Bombyx mori: one gene and its partner. The main gene of each other region encodes a partner of the protein of the gene in region 2 in a complex. Links are inferred from orthologs where the notes say so. Each region holds a gene or a part of one and is shown on either strand. Other genes may lie near its edges.

Evidence for each region.
Region 1: the proteins of Ef-1d (region 2) and Ef-1g are in contact, whole or in part, in a crystal structure (PDB 5JPO), measured with the Homo sapiens proteins. The link is inferred for Bombyx mori from reciprocal best matches to the Homo sapiens genes EEF1D and EEF1G. Residues at the interface, in NP_001123527.1 of Homo sapiens: Ala2, Asn4, Phe5, Leu6, His8, Glu9, Ile11, Trp12, Phe13, Lys15, Phe16; in NP_001395.1 of Homo sapiens: Tyr9, Trp13, Arg14, Phe40, Gly41, Asn44, Gly56, Lys57, Val58, Ser104, Val107, Pro108, Ser111, Thr112, Phe115, Ile120, Met121, His123, Asn130, Glu134.

Annotation. Positions count from the first base shown.
Region 1 is NC_085124.1:12,659,223-12,669,661, forward strand, and holds Ef-1g (elongation factor 1 gamma), read right to left. Parts: upstream 9,867-10,439; coding exon 9,855-9,866; intron 9,742-9,854; coding exon 9,592-9,741; intron 9,508-9,591; coding exon 9,441-9,507; intron 9,021-9,440; coding exon 8,878-9,020; intron 8,395-8,877; coding exon 8,254-8,394; intron 7,705-8,253; coding exon 7,531-7,704; intron 6,968-7,530; coding exon 6,834-6,967; intron 6,312-6,833; coding exon 6,142-6,311; intron 5,881-6,141; coding exon 5,738-5,880; intron 4,830-5,737; coding exon 4,692-4,829; 3' UTR 4,379-4,691; downstream 1-4,378. UniProt on the Homo sapiens protein: Probably plays a role in anchoring the complex to other cellular components.
Region 2 is NC_085111.1:9,760,366-9,769,899, reverse strand, and holds Ef-1d (elongation factor 1 delta), read right to left. Parts: upstream 9,197-9,534; 5' UTR 9,137-9,196; intron 8,895-9,136; 5' UTR 8,894-8,894; coding exon 8,807-8,893; intron 8,690-8,806; coding exon 8,603-8,689; intron 7,916-8,602; coding exon 7,730-7,915; intron 6,714-7,729; coding exon 6,566-6,713; intron 6,093-6,565; coding exon 5,851-6,092; coding exon of another isoform or gene 5,776-5,850; exon of another isoform or gene 4,869-5,775; coding exon 4,830-4,868; 3' UTR 4,810-4,829; downstream 1-4,809.

The DNA of each region.
Region 1 (10,439 bases), on a different chromosome or scaffold from region 2:
TACACAGTCAAAAAACTGCCTTGCAGTGTTCCTTATCTATATTGTGATATTTATTTTTTTAATATTTCACCTAAATATTGTTTCTTTTTAGTCTCATGCAAGGAACTATCGCTCAGACATTGATATTGCCCGGAACAGCTAAACTACTACCTACTTAAATAGACTCTATAAAACTTAAAAGTACATTGGTATTTTTCATCTTAAATCGATGTTTTTAATGAACTGAAAAAGAAAAAAAAAGTCAAAAACGAAATAACATTTTTTTTCTGCCTATTTAAATTGTATTTAAGTACTTTATATTTCTCAGTTTTTTTTTCTTCTAATGTTTTAGTGTGTCGGAAATACGTAATTGTTTATGTACCATAAGGCAGGCGTCCATTGGCCCGCACCGCACTCAACGGATTTAATTTTACAAAGTTTTATTTAAAAACATTAATCATACAAAGCTGATGATATCACACAATGCTGCGTCCACTATCCGTGCCGCCCGCACGCAATGCCGGCATTTATGAGCAAAATAAATTCTAAAATCTAAATCTAAAAATACAAACCAAAATAAAATCTGTTGCGTCACGTGCGCGCGGTGCATCCAGCGCGGGCCAATGGACGCGTACCTTTACTTGTACCTAGTTTCAAATTAGCCAATATTTTTGTGATGTTTAGGTAGTCAGTCACGTTAAAGAATTGAAAGCGTATTGATTATTGTTAGAAATGACCACTTCCATAGACGTTCATAGTTTCGATCGTTCAATACCTGTACAATATGTTGAATACTGCATCTGACGATATTATAAAATTTACGCAAATTTCACAACAAAAAATCGTATACGCTATATATATCACAAAATCCTTTGACGTGCATGGTGAAAAGGCCCGCTCCCGGAGCCGTAATTGAAAACAATAACTATTTGCTGAATCTAAATTGTTTTTATTAAATTCCGAAATGGCGAACCCGTAAACCACAAATAAAAACGTAAGTAGCGCTCACTGCGCTTAGTGCGAGTTTTTTAACCTAGCGGCAAACGTAGGCAAACGTTCCAACTCCATACAAATTTGAGTTAACTTTTACGTTATCGAGAAAGTTAAAAACTCGAACTAAGCACACTGGCGCCATCCGTGTTAAACAAAACTAAACCCTGCACGTCACCAAGAGCCTACACATACATTCGGATAGTGGTAAAACTTTTACAATGTACACAGCTGTATTGGATGACGTAAGGTATACCAAATCCGGGGGTGAAAGCGTATTTGGCTTTAAGCGACATTTTTGCAACTTTACAGGAAAGCCATTTGAAGTTTAAAATTTGGAAAAATTGCCATCACAAAAAAACTACTCCATCTATTTGAATGGAGTAAACATAATTGAAGTTCGGTTAACACCAGCGAACCGATGGTAATACCAAATAAAACGCACCGTTAATTACAAAGATAAATGTAGCGTAGAGAAATGTCGCTTGAACCAAATACTCATTCAACCCTCGAAGTAATTTTTCGTTGTCTTATGGTCAATCCCACCAATTTTCTGTACACGCATTAAAATTAGTAAAATGTAGCGTTGTCTAAGTCCCCTGAAGCATACCAATAAATAATCTATATTGAATGCAATGAAAAAGATTCGGTAAAATACAATTTTTTATCAATGATTTTTAGTGACATTAATAACTGGCAACTTCGGCAACATGGCGATTTCGATAAAATTTCTGTATTCAATATTAAATCGGAATGCTATTACTCATTATTGCGCAGCTTGCCTGAGAATATTAATTCTACTAGTGATTTTTCTCGGAACTCTAATTAAAATCCAAATGACAACATCAAAAGTTTTAGCGGGAAAGTGAATGTTAAAACTACGTGGAAAATTTTATATTTGAAAAATGTAAATTGTTGCGTTGGAAATAGATCCCAATTTAAATGAATGTTTTAAATTGTAATCCTGTAAATCAATTATTTAGGATAAAGTTGTGAATCAAGTTCCAATAGTTTATATATATCGTCAACGATAACTATTGTCTATATAAAAGAGTATTTCCTACATAGGCTATTTAAGATAGAAACCTCGTCCCTTTGCCAAGTGGAGTAATTTCTAAACTTCTGAATTTTATCGAAGACGTTAAAATGTTCAAAATACTACATATTGTTACAAGCACATAACAAATCAAATATTTAAATAGAATTAGGTTAAATAATAAATTGTGATGGGGTTTTATTCTCAAGGCTCAAAATTTCAAATGCTGCCATTTAGCAAAATTTTATTAGTATTTTATCTATTTACATAGAGACATGGCGTGTATGAATGTAATAAGAACAGCGCAAAGTTATGCATTTATTTATTCTTATTCTTGTGTACCTCGAGATTTTTCTTATATTCTGAAGCCATGGTAAGGTACCATGATAACTGATGTAAATTGTTCGAAAATCATATCATAAACGTGATATAAAATCCATTTTAAAACATATTTACTTTTCGGTTCATATTATCCGAGTGAACTTCATTAATCTGATTTAATTTTCAAAATAATGTCTAAGATTAGCACATGAGTTACAGGTATCATTACAAGTTACAACCCCCATCTTAAAATAAGGTGACCTGTGAGTTTTGTTAACTACAATCGCTAATAAATTAAGCCCGCAAAATTATAATTTGCACTGGTGGTAGGACTTCTTGTGAGTCCGCACGCGTAGGTACCACCACCTCGCTTAATCTGCCGTGAAACAGTAATGCGCTTCGGTTTGAAGGGTGGGGCAGCCGTTGTAACTATACTGAGACCTTTGCTTGAAATGGGTGTGCGCATTTACGTTGTAGATTTCTAAGGGCTCCAGTAGCCGGTTAATACCAGGCGGGCTGTGAGCTCGTCCACCCATTTAAGCAATAAAAAAAAAAGATTCTAATTTAGAGCATATTTTTTCAGTCTTAAGACTTCTCAACGTGGATACATGGTACTTCATAGCTCTTAATCGTTCGACTTTACCATGGTTTCATATCTATTTTCCTCATTTTAATACTAAACTAATTATTACTGCTTTTGCTCTATACTATTGTTACTTCGCATGTTTACTTAGCGAATAGTTTCATAGAAATAATTTACGTAACGCAATAATATCCTGTAAGAAAATGTACCTAAACGTTTAAAAATTCTATCGATTTAGACAAAAGTCTGATATGTGAGAAAAAAAATATGAATTTTGCTTTCATAACGTGTGTTTTATTTCATTTATTGGTAGCGATGAGAAATTACACTTAAAATTAAAGTTAGTCTACTAAGAAAATATTAAAGCAATTTTATTAAAAATGGGCAAGTAATATCAAAAGTATGTGTAATATTTCTAAACCTCAAACTGGTAATATTAAACTTTATGTACATCATACACTATTTCCAAATTAGATCAAGTAAAAAAACTTTTTTCACGAGCACAGGGGCTCGCAGCGCACTTATTCATAATTTAATTACCTATACATTATTAGGCTAATTACATAGTTACCTACAAAATATATAGGTATATTTATTCTTATTATCGATGTTTTGAAATTTCAAGAGAAATTTCTTTGGCTGGTATTTTTAAAACCCCACTGGTTGATATAGACGTCCTTCGTAATTCCACAGAAAATTAATTATGCGGATTAATTTAAAATCCTAAAAAGTAACCATCCTAAAGTAATCAAGGCAATTTTCTGAATAGTCAAATATGGATTCATTTAAAAGGCTTATTACACTTGGTTAAATTTAGTCGACTGAATTCAGAAGCAAATTTAGAAGTTCCTGATTACACTGTTCTAAATTCAGTTACTGAATAAATTGTCAGTTTAAACGCGACGAAGTAGCACGTGTCGCATTCCCGATCCTGCAGAAAGAATGGAAAGCAGTCGACGTCGCCCAAAACACGTCATCGCGGATCCTCCCGATCCACTAACGGTGCTTCTACGTACTTCAAGCACTGGTCACCGTTCTCGTCGGACCCGTCGCTTGCGACGAAGGGCTCGACGAGCAAACTAACTCTCAGACAGCCCACTGAGTTTCTCGCCGGATCTTCTCAGTGGGTCGCGTTGCCGATCCGGTGGTAGATTCTGCGAAGCACGGATCTTGCTAGGGCTCGTGTTAGCAACGTCGTCAGGTTGGAGCCCCGTGAGCTCACCTAAGGTAGGAAAAAAAAAAAAGGACGTGTCGCACTGGCCCCAGTATTGTCTAGACAACAAAAAACATTTTTTTTTGTCTTTATGTTTCAATTTCCAATTTGTCCAATAAACAGACAAAACCAATGCGCTGTTTGTCACACATAAAGCGTACAGTTCACGACACTCCGCACTTACTGGACGGCACGTTTCTTTTCCTAACAAATAAAGCTAAGGATAAATTTTAAGGCAGGAGAAATAAAACCACCGTTTACTCATAAATAAAAAAAACATGTTTAATTACACATTTGACTTGTTGAGATGAGATATCGATCACGGGAACGACACTGAATAAATGCAAGTATTATCATTTTTTCATGCAACGCCGCGTCGTTTTCGGCACTGCACTACACGGCGATTGAAAATCATTTATTACTGATGTTTTAATAAAAATTGTATAAATTGAGGACAGTTCCGAAAATTGCCAACATCCACCTATTTACATTTGAATGTTTCTTTTTTGTAAAGTTTTTTATAGTTATTGTATGAAATGTGTATACATTGGCTGGACGTTGGTCGGCATTCACTTGAATATCTTGCCCTGGTTGAACTTTCTACCGTCTTTGTCGGTTCCGTTCCACGAGAAGTAGTCCTGGACAAGTTTCTTGGTCTCCTCGCTCGAAGGATCCAGTTTCTTCCAGTCGTAGGACTCGTAGTCCACCTGTAAAACGATTATTTCATTAGTTTCTGTAGATTGGTTGTTATCTATACTAATATATAAATCTACAGTGGTTTTTACGGATGTTCCGTTATAACTACTAAACCATGCATCCGATTGACTTGAAACTTGGTATCCATGTAGAAAATACATGTACTTAATGGATAGGATAATATTTATATGAGTGTTGGATTCTCTACAGCAGTTGTGGGGGCGTTAAGATGAGAATCTTTGTGGGGGTGAATATAATAATGTTAATTTTAAATGCCCGGCGATATAAAATCAATACACACAAATGACATTATTTCTAAAGCCATGTCTGTTGAAAAATACTGTAACTGCACTATTGTTGTCTACCCTGCATGCACACACACACCATTAAACATTAGTCAGGGCAGCAATTCTCATCAGATACCCCTCATCATTACACATATTGCACTCAAAATATAAACTTACTAAAAGAGCAATTAACTAAGTTTTGTGAATCAATTTTGTTTTCCTATGAATATTATTAACTTTTTGGCTTTTAGAATGGTAAACTACACTACTAAATGAATTGCTGTTCGTTAGTCTCGTTAAAACTCAAGAACAGCTGGACAGATTTGGCTAATTTTGGTCTTGAATTATTTGTGAAAGTCCAGAGAAGGTTTAAAAAGTAGATAAATATGCAAATGCTCGGAATTAAACAAAAATAACAATTTTATTTTTCCATTGATGTGTCCCCTGTCCATCAGATTCCTTTTGTTGTTTTAAGTTTATACAGAAGTTTAGGTCTTTTATAATATCGGTTCAGGCACTACGAAGTTTGCAGGGTCAGCTAGTACATTATATATATATATATATATATATATTGTATCGGTCAGCACGGTTGCTTTTATGCTACTTTGCAACTATGTCATTTGTATACAAACCTGCCAATCAGACGACAGCGGGAACACGAGCTCCTTTCCGCGCCACACCCACACTCCAGAGATGGTGGAATTGTTGTCTTCACCAAACAGGCAGACGGATGCGAAAGCCTGTTTGCGCATTTTGTCTAACCTCTGGAACATACCTGGTGAATAGACGAAAATTATATGTAAAAACATAAAAGTCCACTTGTAAGTTCTGGGCTGCTATGCAATTTCTGCTTGTTTTATCCTCATAGACCCTTGATGATCAATAGGGACATTCTATGATAAAAGAAAACTCGTACAATTTATAAAATTATTCTGAGAGGTGTGTCAATGCAATTCAGTAGTACCATCCTGTCTATTCCATAAATGCACTAGTAATGAGCTCATTCACCTGTATAAGTATTAAAAAAAAAACTTACCCGTAATAAGGTTACAGCTCATGAACACTTTAGCGAGTTCCTCGGGGTATTTGTATTCAGCATACCAAATGGAATAGTTCTCGGGGTCAAACTTCTCCCAGAAGTAAGGAATAGATTTAGCTTCGTCTTCGTTGGAGTAGACACGCTTGAAATCATCCATGTTGAAGGTACTGAAATAAAAATGTAACAAAGTTTGATATCTCTTTTATTAAATGTTAATTGTTCTAATGAAGGTATCATTTTTAACACCTTGACTGTATTAATATTTTTAGTGTCGTTCAGAAACTTTGGAAGGGGATTCCCTCCCTCTTAGTCACAACTATTATTTTTATTTCTTTAATTAACTGAATTACAAGACTAAGCAAACATACTAATCAATATGTGAGTTTCATGAACTGACTATTTTAATGGCTAACCGAAACCCTTATTATATACTACGGATTCCTTCTTGAATGACCAACTAAACCAAAACTTTCATTTAACATTCAAAGAACCACAACTGGGATTTTTTCAAGTACAAAAAATACATAAAAAATCAGATCATGCACATACCAAATATCTTTCAGAAAAAAAGGTCAGTCTGGAAAATGAACCAGAACACATGGTATATAAGCACTTTCACTAAACAATCAAACAACAGGGCTTGCTTGTTTGTGAATTGTTTTTCATTTCAGTGAATAACAGTTATTTACCCTTTAGGCATAGAGTCGAAGGGGTCCTTGGACTCCTTAGGCTTTTCAAGCTCCTCCTCTTCAAGGTCAGGAACAACTTCCTCCTTCTTCTTGGGTTGCTCTTTCTTTTCACACTTCTTATCTTTTTTGCCCTCCTATTAATTCAATTTTGGGAAGTTTTAGTTTAAGCAACATTTTTTTCTATCTATATTCAAAAGTATATTTTTAATGGTATATATTGCAAGTAACAAAATTTCCTTGGCATAGCATTCCCGTAATAAAACTGTATAATCTCAAAACTTACTAATTTTATGGTTATATGGTTATTACTAAGGTTTAACATGTGATATTTTTAATATTAATCATCTTTGCAACATTTATTTTTTATTTTTTAGCAGTTACATTATCTGCCTTTTAAAGGCAAGCTAAAATTATGTATTAATTTTATTAATAGTAGTAACATAGGTAAACTAAAAAGTTAAACTAAACTACGATCTCTTGACGGTATTTTGAGAAAAATACTGGTGATACCAAATGATTCCGCATATTAACTCAATTTCGAATATTTTTGGAAATTGTACACTTTTAATGCGGAAAGACGATATGTAATGCTGTTTAGCTGTTCTTATTCGATAATTGCTTTCTTATTACTATTAAAATTTGAACAAACATAATTAAATTATATTTTTTGATAAAAAAACTGTAACAGTTACAGTACCTTCTTGTTCTGTGCACCAGCTAACTCCTGGTACTTTTTAGGGTCGTATGTAGGAGGAGCCGCACAGAGCGTGAGCGAGCCGACGACGGCCGACACTTGCGGCTGGTGGGCGACGGTCAGGAACCAACGCTGAACGTTTATCAGCGACGAACGGACGCTCGGGTCTAGCACGTGCTGAAGTAAAATAGCTTTTATGGCATTCTATTCAAACCCAATCGATTGTGACTTGCTTTCTTGAAAAACTGGTGGGAGGACCATGTGAGTCCGCGCGGGTAGGTAACACCACCGCGCCTATTTCTGCCGTGAAGCAGTAATGTGTTTTGGGTTGAAGGGTGGGGCAGCCGTTGTGTAGCTATACTTGAGACCTTAGAACTTATATCTCAAGGTGGGTGTCGCATTTACGTTGTCTATACGCTCAAGTAACCACTTAACACCAGGTGGGCTGTGAGCTCGTCCACCCATCTAAGCAATAAAAAAAAAATTCATTATTATTATTAAGGTACTATTTAATTTTCGATAACAATTTGCTTTTTTTAGTCTTATGCTTTTTTATTGTTCTCCTATTTGCTTTACAAACACTTTTATGTATTTAGTAATGTATTGTTTAATGATTCTCTGAAGTATCACTTTATTAACTGTGCTTACTCCAAGTGGTGAAGAAAATCAATTCAAATCTTAAAAGAAAGTTTTCAGTAGTTCATAGGATAACTTCCTTATCCTCACCTGGAAAGCATGCAGCAGTGTACTGAAGACAATGACATCGGCAAGTGTGATTCTCTCGGTAACAAGGAAGGTGCGTGTGAGAAGATGTCCGTCCAGTACTTTTAAGGCGGCCAGTAGGTCAGACTTTGCACGTTCAACATTCTGGAATTATTTAATCCTTATATCAGTTGCCAGTAGTTTGTGGCTTATAATTGTAATATTGAGTAGCTTATTAAGCACCATGACAATATAATAAATTAGAGAAAACGTACAAGATCCTATGTTTAATATTACTAAATTTTTATTGATGGTAGGAAGTCTTGTGAGTCTGCACGAGTAGGTACCACCACCCTGCCTATTTCTGCCCTGAAGCAGTAATGAGTTTCGGTTTGAAAGGCAGGGCAACCGTTGTACAGTTAAGAGTGAGACCTTACAACTCATGTCTCAAGGTGGGTGGCAGCATTTACGTTGTAGATATCTATGGGGTCCGATAACCACTTAACATCAGGTAGGGCCGTGAGCCATATATCTAAGCAAAAAAAAAGTTTAATTCTGAATAATGATAATATTCATATATTTTTATGTAATCACTTATATCAGTAGACTAACACATATATATTTTAATATCACAAATTCTTCAATTACCTGTTTGTTGAATTGCATGATACCAAGGTAAGGGAAGACCCAAGCGCAGGAAGCAGGCAGTAGTTCGCTGTCAGACCATGATGCCCACTGCCAGACACGGGCTTGGGTAGCCAGATCTCCTCCGCGGAGACTTTCATTGGCAACTGTAAAGTTCCTTTTTTAATTCAAGTTAAATGTTGTATTTTTCTTTTAACTTCTGATACTACTTGAAGTGAAAGGGTGTATGATTGGGATTATAAAATATTATGCAATAATTAAATATTATTAGTGATTTGTGAGTGTCCTCTATAATTATATTTAACGGAAATTATGAGTATTGTTTCATCAAGGAAAAGTCATGATTCGTCGATTTTATGAGTTTTTAAATCAGATTAAGTAGAAAAACGCTTTCATACTTGTACCATCGACGAATTATATAGTTAAATTTATTTGAAATAACTTCGCAAGAGGTATTTACAACCTTATCTTTTTTTAACTTTGGTTTATTAGGTATTCTTCTAGTTAGTTAGGTTAGATTTATTTAAGTTAGTTTTGTAGGTGTATTTGAAAATAAAAAAACTCACCGTAGTAAGCGATGGCATTGCTTTCAGTTAGAAGCACCTTTCCATCGGCACTTTCGAATGCAGGCACCTAAAATATACACCGATATTACACGTCACAACACTCAACATATGCCGAAATATTACTATGCACAATACGCCGGTTTAAACTCACTTTTCCGGCAGGAAACTTCTTCAAGAAGTCTTCGGACTTGTTGGTCTCGCCAAATACGAAATTCGGTGCTACTTTCACATCAGTCCCGGAATATTGTGCGGCGATCAACGCTTTATAAGCGCGGAAGTTTTCCGGATAAGTGTAAAGTACCTGAAAAAATAAATGCGTAATATTATTAATACTTTCATTATCATTGGGTTTTATTAATAAGTTTTCTATCAATGACTGGATTAACAAGATATTTCAAGGTAAATTACACCTACCCCGGCCGCCATGGTTGGAGTTTTCGGAAAGAGAAGGGGGGCCGAGGAAATATTGGCGAGGGAGGATTTTGCCCTTTGACATTGACATTCTGTGACAGCTGAAATAGAAATTAAGTGAAAATTGCATACACACGGTTATCTGTTAATCAATTTTTTAGTTTATTAAAAAAATCCCTTTTTCTTTCTTTAATTAGATTAGAATTAGACTAATATTGGAAATGCCTTGCAACCAAAAGCCTATTTCCAAGTGACTGTACATACTGTAGTTTAGGTCCTTATTTTCGGGCTAATGAAACTACCAATACCACGGGACGTTATATTATTAATTCTCTCTCACGGTCCGTACAGCTAGTCTATACATCACTCGATCAGAAACACCGTATGTTAAAGAATATAGTCTTGTGTAGCTCTTTATCATTGTAACAAAACGCTGAATGAGAATGTCTGTGTCTGGCTGTCTTTGTATCTTTCAAAAGTCTTCAAGCTGACGTGAAGGATTGAAACACATTTATTATGGCCATGTCTTGGGCACAAATTAATATTTGACAACAATTTAATATCGTCTGACCTGCGAAGTTTATTTGT
Region 2 (9,534 bases):
AAAAATAATCTAATCGGATTCAGTATGAAAGGAACATAGTTCAAATCCTTAACGATCGATCAATCGACGACACACAACAACTTCAAAAATAAATAAATGTAGACTGCTAAATTACATCGGTTACTTGTGCAAATATTAAAAAAAAAACTGAGACAGTAAAATTTAATTCGGCCAATCAGTAAAAATCGTAACTACAGATCAAAAAAACTTCAGAGTACAACTCGAATCTAAAATGAACGAAACAAATTCGTTATGTGAGGACAAGGGCAATGCATCAGCTGTTTCAAATCCAGTTAGAAGAGAACCAGTATCGAGTGGCACCTGACCGGCAAGCGAGTGAACTTGTTCAGCAGCCCTGCTCCGACCCTGTGCGTCGAGATTCACCACCAAACGGTACAAACTGGTCATAACGCCATTGTACACACGTGCTCGTCAAACTTGTCTTACACAAACTTAATAATATAAACACAGCTCAAGGATTTTGACTGTCTAAAAAACGCTACATGTAACAAAATACGGTTCCCGTAAAAGAAAACCTCGAAGTACGGCAAACGATTGAACCCAAGCAGCTAACAAAGAATATTGCAGTTGTGTTTCAGATGCAGTGCAATGTTACAAGGCCAACAAAGTTAGTGAAAAAATCTTCATACTGCTTAGAAGTAAGAAGAAAAACACCGAAATTTTTAATCCCCAAAAAAGTCTAAAGAGCGGTAGGGGCAATCAAAATTTGTACTTAAATATATGGAAACCGGACTTTATATGACAAGACTAATATAATTTCACAATTGTTAATTTATTACCTTCTTCGATTTGAATGTGCTATTCTATTAAACTAAATAAAGCTTTGGAAGTGTACTAATATTTTCGTTTATAACCAGTTATACTGTTTAGAGATGTATTATATATGCACATGTTTGTGAAGAAATAACCATAGGTATAGCCGCGAGCGTCGTGCCTGATTGCTTGGTCGCGCTGAAGGAGGAAAAACAAAATTACAAAAAGGCTGTGCCGCTGAGCTGCGTTCTGTATCAGTGTGCAGTCGCACACACATACATACAGCTAAAGCCCGTTGGTCACATCGTTACACAGACGCGCACAATTTACCCACACAAACAAACATTTCATATACCCTATTGCTACACGACATACGCTTCACGATACACATGTTTTAATTTAAAACAATAACGACCACATCCATTAACTTATGTATATTATCATCAATTGTCGTTTATTAGCTCGATAAAATACTATGAGTCCACATAAACAAAGCAATCTCGATTGAATCCATCTAAGGAAATGAATAGGACAGATAATTTGTCTAATTGCCGCTGTCACTTAAGTTTAAACTTATAAACGAAGCAAGCACGTCATAGCACTAGTCCTAAGGTCGGGGGCGGCGACGGCGCAGGCGCCCTGGCACAGGCCGTCACGCATGCACGTCAAACTAGTATCATGACGTCACGGCCCGCCCGGCAAAATTACAAAACCGGCCGGTCGGTTGTAGCACCGCGCGGCGCGCCAGCAAGCGGCGCGGGTGTGATGCGGGCGAGCGCAGTGGCGGACGCGCTGTCGACCGACCCCGACGTATCACGTACCGTGGGCGGCGTGTTCACGCGGCGCGCGGGCCGGAGCGCGGGTACTCGAGCACGCGACGAGCGGCGCTACGGAGCGCGGGCGCAGGTGCTCTGAGCGCAGCAGCCTCCGCGCGCCGCCGCCGCCACTCACCGCACTCCCCGCGCTACCCGCGCCCGACACTACGCACCGACATCAACTATTTATCTCCCGTGCTATGCTGGCCCTCCTGTCCGAGGACGTTGCCCACTGTCCACTCTCAAGTGCAACTTACGAAAAAATACTACTTCTTTTTGTAACATTAGAAACAAATTTTCGAATCGTTAAGTCGGTTAAACTTTAAATTGCGAATCTGTTTATTCATACCAAATTTCACGGAAAGGAAGGCTCCCATTTTTCTCAAAAAACTTTAATAGATGAATATTCTTAAATAATCAAGAAACAAATAATAATTAATCTCGCATAGAAGTAAGACTGCTAACTTTGAGAAAGTGGTACAAAACAAAATCGCTAAGGCACCGCCTGAGGCGACGAACGCCCTGACAGCCACGACTGCGCCGATAGTACATAATATAATCGATGAAGATAGATAGGTATCCACAGCAAAATCATTCAAAAACTAACAATCGGGTGCCGATTACACAATCTTACGCAATTGCCAATAATGAAATGCGAAGTTAGGATTTTTCTCTGAAAGCACTGTCCTGATTATTTACTAATATCTATTTAATGTGCCATATTTTGTTGGTTCCTCACACGAGACAAGATGTACACGCGTTGATGTCTTTTAAATGGAAGGAACAGCCTGTATCAACCGATTGCCTTGTTTTAGTACAAAGGAATTAAATAATACAAGATGTGCCCTCGGAGCTGTTGCAGTGTTAAATTTAATAAATATACTTGAAATATCTAGTATTGGCAGAAATTAATTGTGAAAAAATATATTTTATTGATCGGCACCTATCTGTAGCTTCCGTCATTCTAAGAACAGAAAATTTCATGAAATTTAAATTGATTTTGCATTAAACCATTTTTTGTAAAAGTCTTCAATTTACAAAAACAAAACTTCTACCTTATTACTGTTATTATTTATTAATATATTTGAAGATCAGTAACAATAAATCCTAGATCCACTACATATTGGTACGAGGGAGTCTCCGAGTGGGATAAGATGGCGCTATGTAGGTACTATTTATATATATAACTTCTATAAGCTCCGCTAAACAAGACGCGCGAATGATTTGTCGTAGAAATAGGTACGATCGTTGTCCAAAGACTGTTGGAACCAAACACCGATATACAAACTTACATATGTTTATACATACATAGGTATATGGACATTACCTAATCACTCAGTAGAGAGCATATAAACCTGTTACCACACAAAATTTTGCCCGATGTGGAAATCGAACCCACGACCCTCGAGGCTAGCAACCACGGGCTTAAGTTGTTAATATACAATGTACACCTACCTATAGATAGATACTTAGTAATGTACAAGGAATGCGGGAACTTCACTCGGTCCTTTATAGCCAATCTAGAGATAAATCTCGTACATTACAGAGCGCCGCCTCGATATAAGAACGCTGACGATTATTTAACTTCCCAGAATTATTTAAGTGATTGGTGAAAGCGACACAGGTGTGTGCGGAAGGATAAATGTTCAAACTTAATAACCATTGTCTTGACATGTTTAATGGTAAATTGTGAAATCTGTAGTCTAAGCTAGGAATATTTTGTAATCACCTTTTTGCTCTGTAGACTTTGTAAATTAATTAATTAATATCGCAACATAAATAGGAGATAAGGTTGGCTTTTTAGAAACATTGCTTTTAAACAGATATGTATGCAATAAGTTATGTTTTTCTCGACCTCAACTGTACCTAAACCTCATATCCATTATTAAATTAAATGGTATCCTAAAAAACTGAATCACAGATAACTTTAGTAAATTCAACAACTTGAAAGTTGAAATTATTGAGATCTCTACTGAACAAACGATGATAGTCCAATGAACAAATGGCTATTAAATTTTTAGCCTCAGTTCAACCAACCCTACGCTTAGGTACTGCAGAACGCATGGCAAACCATGACATGCTGGTCAGCAGCAATAAACTTCCCATTTGTTAGGGCCGAGACATAGTGGTTTAGAAATCAATGAAATAGCGGATAAATTAGCCAGGAATTCGGCCTTTGATCGATCCTGAGCTTGCCTGTGGGCTCCCTAAGAGCTTACTAACATCCGAATTAACTCCTGAGCGCCCATTAAAAGCAGATCGCTCTGGAAATAAACTATGAGAACTGCATGTGAAAGCCATACTCGGTATACCAAAGCTGAAACGTGACACAGTTTATAAAAAAAAACTAGGAATTCTAACAAGGACCTAAAAATGACACTGTAGGTCACTAATACTCTTGCACAAGCTAGGCCTCGCAACTAATCCTACCTGACGGTCGTGTGAGGAAGAAACTCCACTTCTCATACGGGTAGTAAGAAGTGGAGTTGACTGACATGATTTACAGACGGACTGCCGTGATTTAGGCAGCTTAAGATGCTCATTCCTCAAAGAGCATGTTCTCTGGCCCAAGGTCAAGATTATATATTCAAGAGAGTGAGTGAGAGAGACTACTATTAACAATATTAATGAGATAGCTACAACATATTTCAAGTTTATTCATTAGAAATACATCTTTGAAAATTAAGTGTCTACCAATAAAAACAACCATTGGGGAAATTTGTTGTGAATCTTTCTGTAGGTGGTACTTTTTAATATTTGCCTACAGTGTTTTATTTAGCTATTTCGTGATGTTCATTTATTAATTGCAACAAATAAATAAATATATTCACTTCACTACACCCTATATGAATTGGGGAAAAAACGCAGAAGGGTGTAGGCAGAAAATTACGAGATGAATAGCTATTCCCGAAGAAAGCCGAAACCCGTCCATCTGATTATACATGTTATTTTCTTTTAAGATCCACAGACTTAAAATACAATGTGTATCGTATTTTTTAATTTTGTTACAAATAAACTTCCTTAACAAATTACCTACTTTAAGACTCATAACGCACCACATTCTCCAACAGATGTTAAACAAACATTTATGTGTTCGATTGTAAAAATCAGCAGTCTAAGACCGGACAACGGCCATTTCTTATTGCAAGGAAAGAAATCTTTGAGGATATTTTCGTGATTGGGAGACAAAAAAAATTATTCAAACAATGTTTTCATTTTATTTTATTTAACATTTCTGTGCTAGACTTTGTTGAACGCAGCAATATCGACACTTTGTACCTGGAAAAAACATATGCGAAATGCTAGAGTATAAATGTAGAACAGATCATATTTTAAGTTCAATAATAATTTCTAGAAAGTTTTCTCCAATTTTCAAATGCTAATATTGACATTTTTAACCAAATTTATTCATATCATGTAACAGTATACCAATAACAAAAATTTGTAAAAGGTAATTATGAAATGATATTTATTAAGTAAAAAAAGCATTGCTGTCACAATATGAGATATTAAACATTAATGTTTCCATACTAACATTGCATTATTTTCAAACCTGTTCTTTACATAAGATGTTTTTTTTTACTGCTTAAGTGGGTGGACAAGCTCACAGGCCACCTGGTGTTAAGCGGTTACTGGAGCCCGTAGACATCCACAACGTAAATGCGCGACCCACCTTGAGATATAAGTTCTAAGGTCTCAGTATAGTTACAACGGCTGCCCCACCCTTCAAACCGAAACTGCTTCACGGCAGCAATAGGCAGGGTGGTGGTACCTACCCGTGCGGACTCACAAAAGGTCCTACCACCAGTAAACAATTGGTTCTCACCAATATAAATGCATGAGGTCATATTATTATGTGGGTATTCGTTATACATGAGCATATTATAATTCATAGTAAGATAGTCATTTATTATAACTCCAAATATCGTCTGGTTCCCTATTCTATTAAAGAACCGTGAATTTTGTAAATTGTCAGAATATTTTAAATTAATCTCTCTGATCTTATGTGTTCATATCTTTTTAATTCAATAAAACGGCAAACAATCTTATAGACCACACATTGAGAAATTACTGGAGCTCATAAAGAAAGCCCCTCCCTCATTTTAGCATGTTGACAGTTACAACTGCATTAATATAAGGGCTTTCTTGTCCTATACAAGTTCATAACAGGCACTACAGTGAATACTTAAGCATCAATATTTGATATTAGCTGCCATATACTTATTATTACCATTTTTTCTATAGTACACTGAACACTTACATAGTCTTCATTTTTCTCGATTTCCTCAGTAAGCCAATCAATAGAAACCTTATCATCTTCAACAACACAGGAAATTTGCAGCTTATGGATACCATAAGCCAAAGGCACTAGTTTAGCGGCACCCCACAAGAGGCCATCAGTGCTGATTGACCTTACAGCTTGTTCCAAGGCTGCCATATCAGTCTCATCATCCCATGGCTTTACATCCAGAATAATATTCGACTTTGCAATTAGCACTGGCTCTGTGAAATAATTATTTTTGGATTGGTTATTAATACTATACTTTTATACTATTTATCATAATATGGTCTAATTATTTTTTAGAAATTCTTAATATCAGCAAAATGGCAATTTTAAAGGTCATAAATATGATTTACATGTTACTATCGTAATCAAGAATGATGAAATTCATAGAAAAGCTTAAGTAGCCAACAAGCACTGGAAACTTGAAGGGATATTGTATGTTATGGTACTTGGCCTGAAAACCTGAATGACAATCTTTCTTATCCAAGCATTGTATTATGAATGTAATAAGTATGTATGTTAAATATTATGTATGTAATAGTTTTGGAATGCAGACCACACCCCAGAAAGTGTAGAATGTTATGCCTACAAAGTGACTGAGCTCAGGGCACAGCAGTATCCAATCTGTCACTTTAGAAACAGATCAGCACAGTAGATGCACAGAGGAGCAAGAATTATGTTTATAGCCTACTTTTAGCTTTCTTTGCATTATATGCAGCAAGACGCTCTTCCTTTATCTTAGCTGCTTCAGCACTCTCCTCTTCATCATCTGAACCAAACAAATCAACATCATCATCTTCGTCATCCTTATCAGTAGAAGCTGCTGCAGGTTTTTCTGACTGAAAGGTAAATGATAAATATATTTAGTAATACAATAGGTATTTTGTACATTTAAAATTATTGCATTTTAAATTTAAGAAGAGACAATAAATGCCTGAAATTGCCAATTTTGCTGATAAGACTCTGGAAGCTCTACAGTGGAATTAACTTTAAGACTTAACTTTGGAATTAATGGTTTGGCAACACATATGTTTTGGCATATAATCTTTCCCATTGTCTTCCAAATCTTGAAAAAAGATCACCCTATTTACAGAATATACAGGGTATATATTTCATGTCAGCTTATCATACAATGAAAATCCATGAAGTTGCCATTTCACAACACTGGCAATTTGTAACGTAATTTAAGTATGCTGGTAATAAATTCTAAGCTCAAATAAATTTATATAAATAATATTGAATTATATTTTCAAATTCAGTCATTTATTTATTGTTAGTCAATCATCATCAATATCTACATGATAAAATTCGAGTATAAGAAATCTGTCACAGTAAGAACGCCGCACATACAGCTCACAGCATTAATGACGTGTACAGAGGGCACACCACAAACGAACGTAAAACTCGTTTTAAGTTTGAATGCTTCTGATATGGAAATTTTAATCTAAAAAATCAACCCTGTGGTCGCTGAAAACTAAAGTAAGCAACAACGCGTTAAAGGTGATAGTGGAAGTTGAAAATATTCAATCAACTGCTAAGTTGCAGTAGCTTTCAATGTTAGCTTCAAAGAGACTTTCCAGTACGCAGATGCAGTACAGAAGGTACCACCAAACTGCCTATTTCTGCCGTGAAACAGTAATGCGTTTCGGTTTGAAGGGTGGGGCGACTGTTGTAACTATATGAAACCATATCTCAAGGTAGGTGGCGCATTTACGTTGTGGATGTCTATGGGCTCCAGTAACCACTTAACACCAGGTGGGCTGTGAGCTCGTCCACCTATCTAAGCAATAAAAAAATATGTAATACTAATGTCCCAAATCTATTATTACTTTCCCCTTATAAATTCAATGCTTACTTGAATACAATCAGAGGTGATACTGCTGGATGATTCCAAGGTTTCAACACGGACTTGCAGGCTGATGACTAAATTACGTAAATCATCTATAGCCTTTTTCAAATCCTTGTTTTCGTTTTCTAAGCTGATGACTTTAGTACTGAGCTCTGTATTAGGAACACCCGCCAAAGTTGCTACACTATCCATCTGAAAAAAAAAGTGAATACTATACTCTCTATTGCACTACTCGACATGAAAATCTATTAATTAATTAGCATGTTTATATAGGCATATTGAAATAAGACAATAAATTTAAATAAATGTTGTATACTAATTTACAATACTAATTTTCTACAGTAAAATAAACAAGAATGATTCTCTAATATTTCATAGCACAAAAAAGCCAAGCCAAAAATTGCTACTGAAAATGACCTCTATTGCCTTTATTTTATATGAAATGAACTGAGCCAAAATTTTATTGTTTTACTTATTTCAATTTCACTTTATTTTATTAGTTCAATGTAGATCTTATGCAAAATGTAATCTAGCCATTCTCAAATACAAAGTGGATTGAACGGATTATTTTAACACAAGCAGAAAACTATATTAGCTTTCTAATGACGTTAGAGTTACTTGTCACTAATATACTCATATTTGATAAACCTGAAATCTAAAGCAAAAGCAGCTAGTGGACATGTTCTCTGTGTCACAGAGTACCCTGCATATAAGCTGATTTTTATTTGTTATAACATAAAAAATGAGAAATTAAAACTTTGTCTTTGCTTATTGAAACAATAACCTTACACACAGATATTTGACAAATAAATACTGTGACAAATCTAATAGATTTGTGTGAAGCAATGTGTGAAATATAATAAAACAACATCTACTCACACATTCTAAAGAATTTTTAATATGCTGTCTAGCCTTTGCGACTTCACTGGCCAATGATGATCGAGCTAACGATAATGGTGCTTGGACCTACAAAATCATCATTGAATTACGTTAACTATCGACAAACTCCATTCTTTAAAGTATAATTTATAGAATTACTCAGATGAAAAAATGTATGAATAATTTTTTTTATTAAAAACTTACCTTCGACAAAGATTCATAATAAGCTTTTTCAGCATCATTGTAAACATTCCGGTCTAACCAAACCTTCTCGTGTAATAAAGCAGCCATGCTAAAATATTAAAATGAAACTACTTAGTACTCATTTAAGCATTTTTAAGTATAAATTGATGATGAAAAATTATTCGATGAACGTGAAACGATATTTAATTGTGGATTAATTAATCACCATATTATGTAAAAAATTGAGCGAAAATAAAGGCGGTAGCAAAAGTTTCAAACCTAAGCTAGGTTATCTCTAAACTACCTACCTACGTGTTTCTTGTCATCTAATAATTTTAAATATTTACCAACCTGATTATTCCAAAATTTAGATTTGAATTGTATTTAAATACAATAAAAACGTTGGTTCATACAATTAAATTGAATTTTTACGTAAATAAAGTTAATAGAGCAAACCTAACAGCCATTCAAATGATGACGGAAACTAAAAAGACAAAGACAACCAAAAACAATTGACAAGTGCTAAAAATTGAAATGTGTCCAGTGAGTGGTCCAGTGTTGTTAGTTTCGTCTATGGAGGAAAGTTCTATAGTTTCTTTTAATGAGAGGCAAAAGGATCATAGAACGGATATTCATCTCTTTTATAAAAAAAAAATTAAGCCATTTCTGTACAAACATAAAAATCATTCGCATTACTGAAATTGTTGTCCGAATCTCGTTCCGCAAAACGAACTTATCATTTTTTTGTA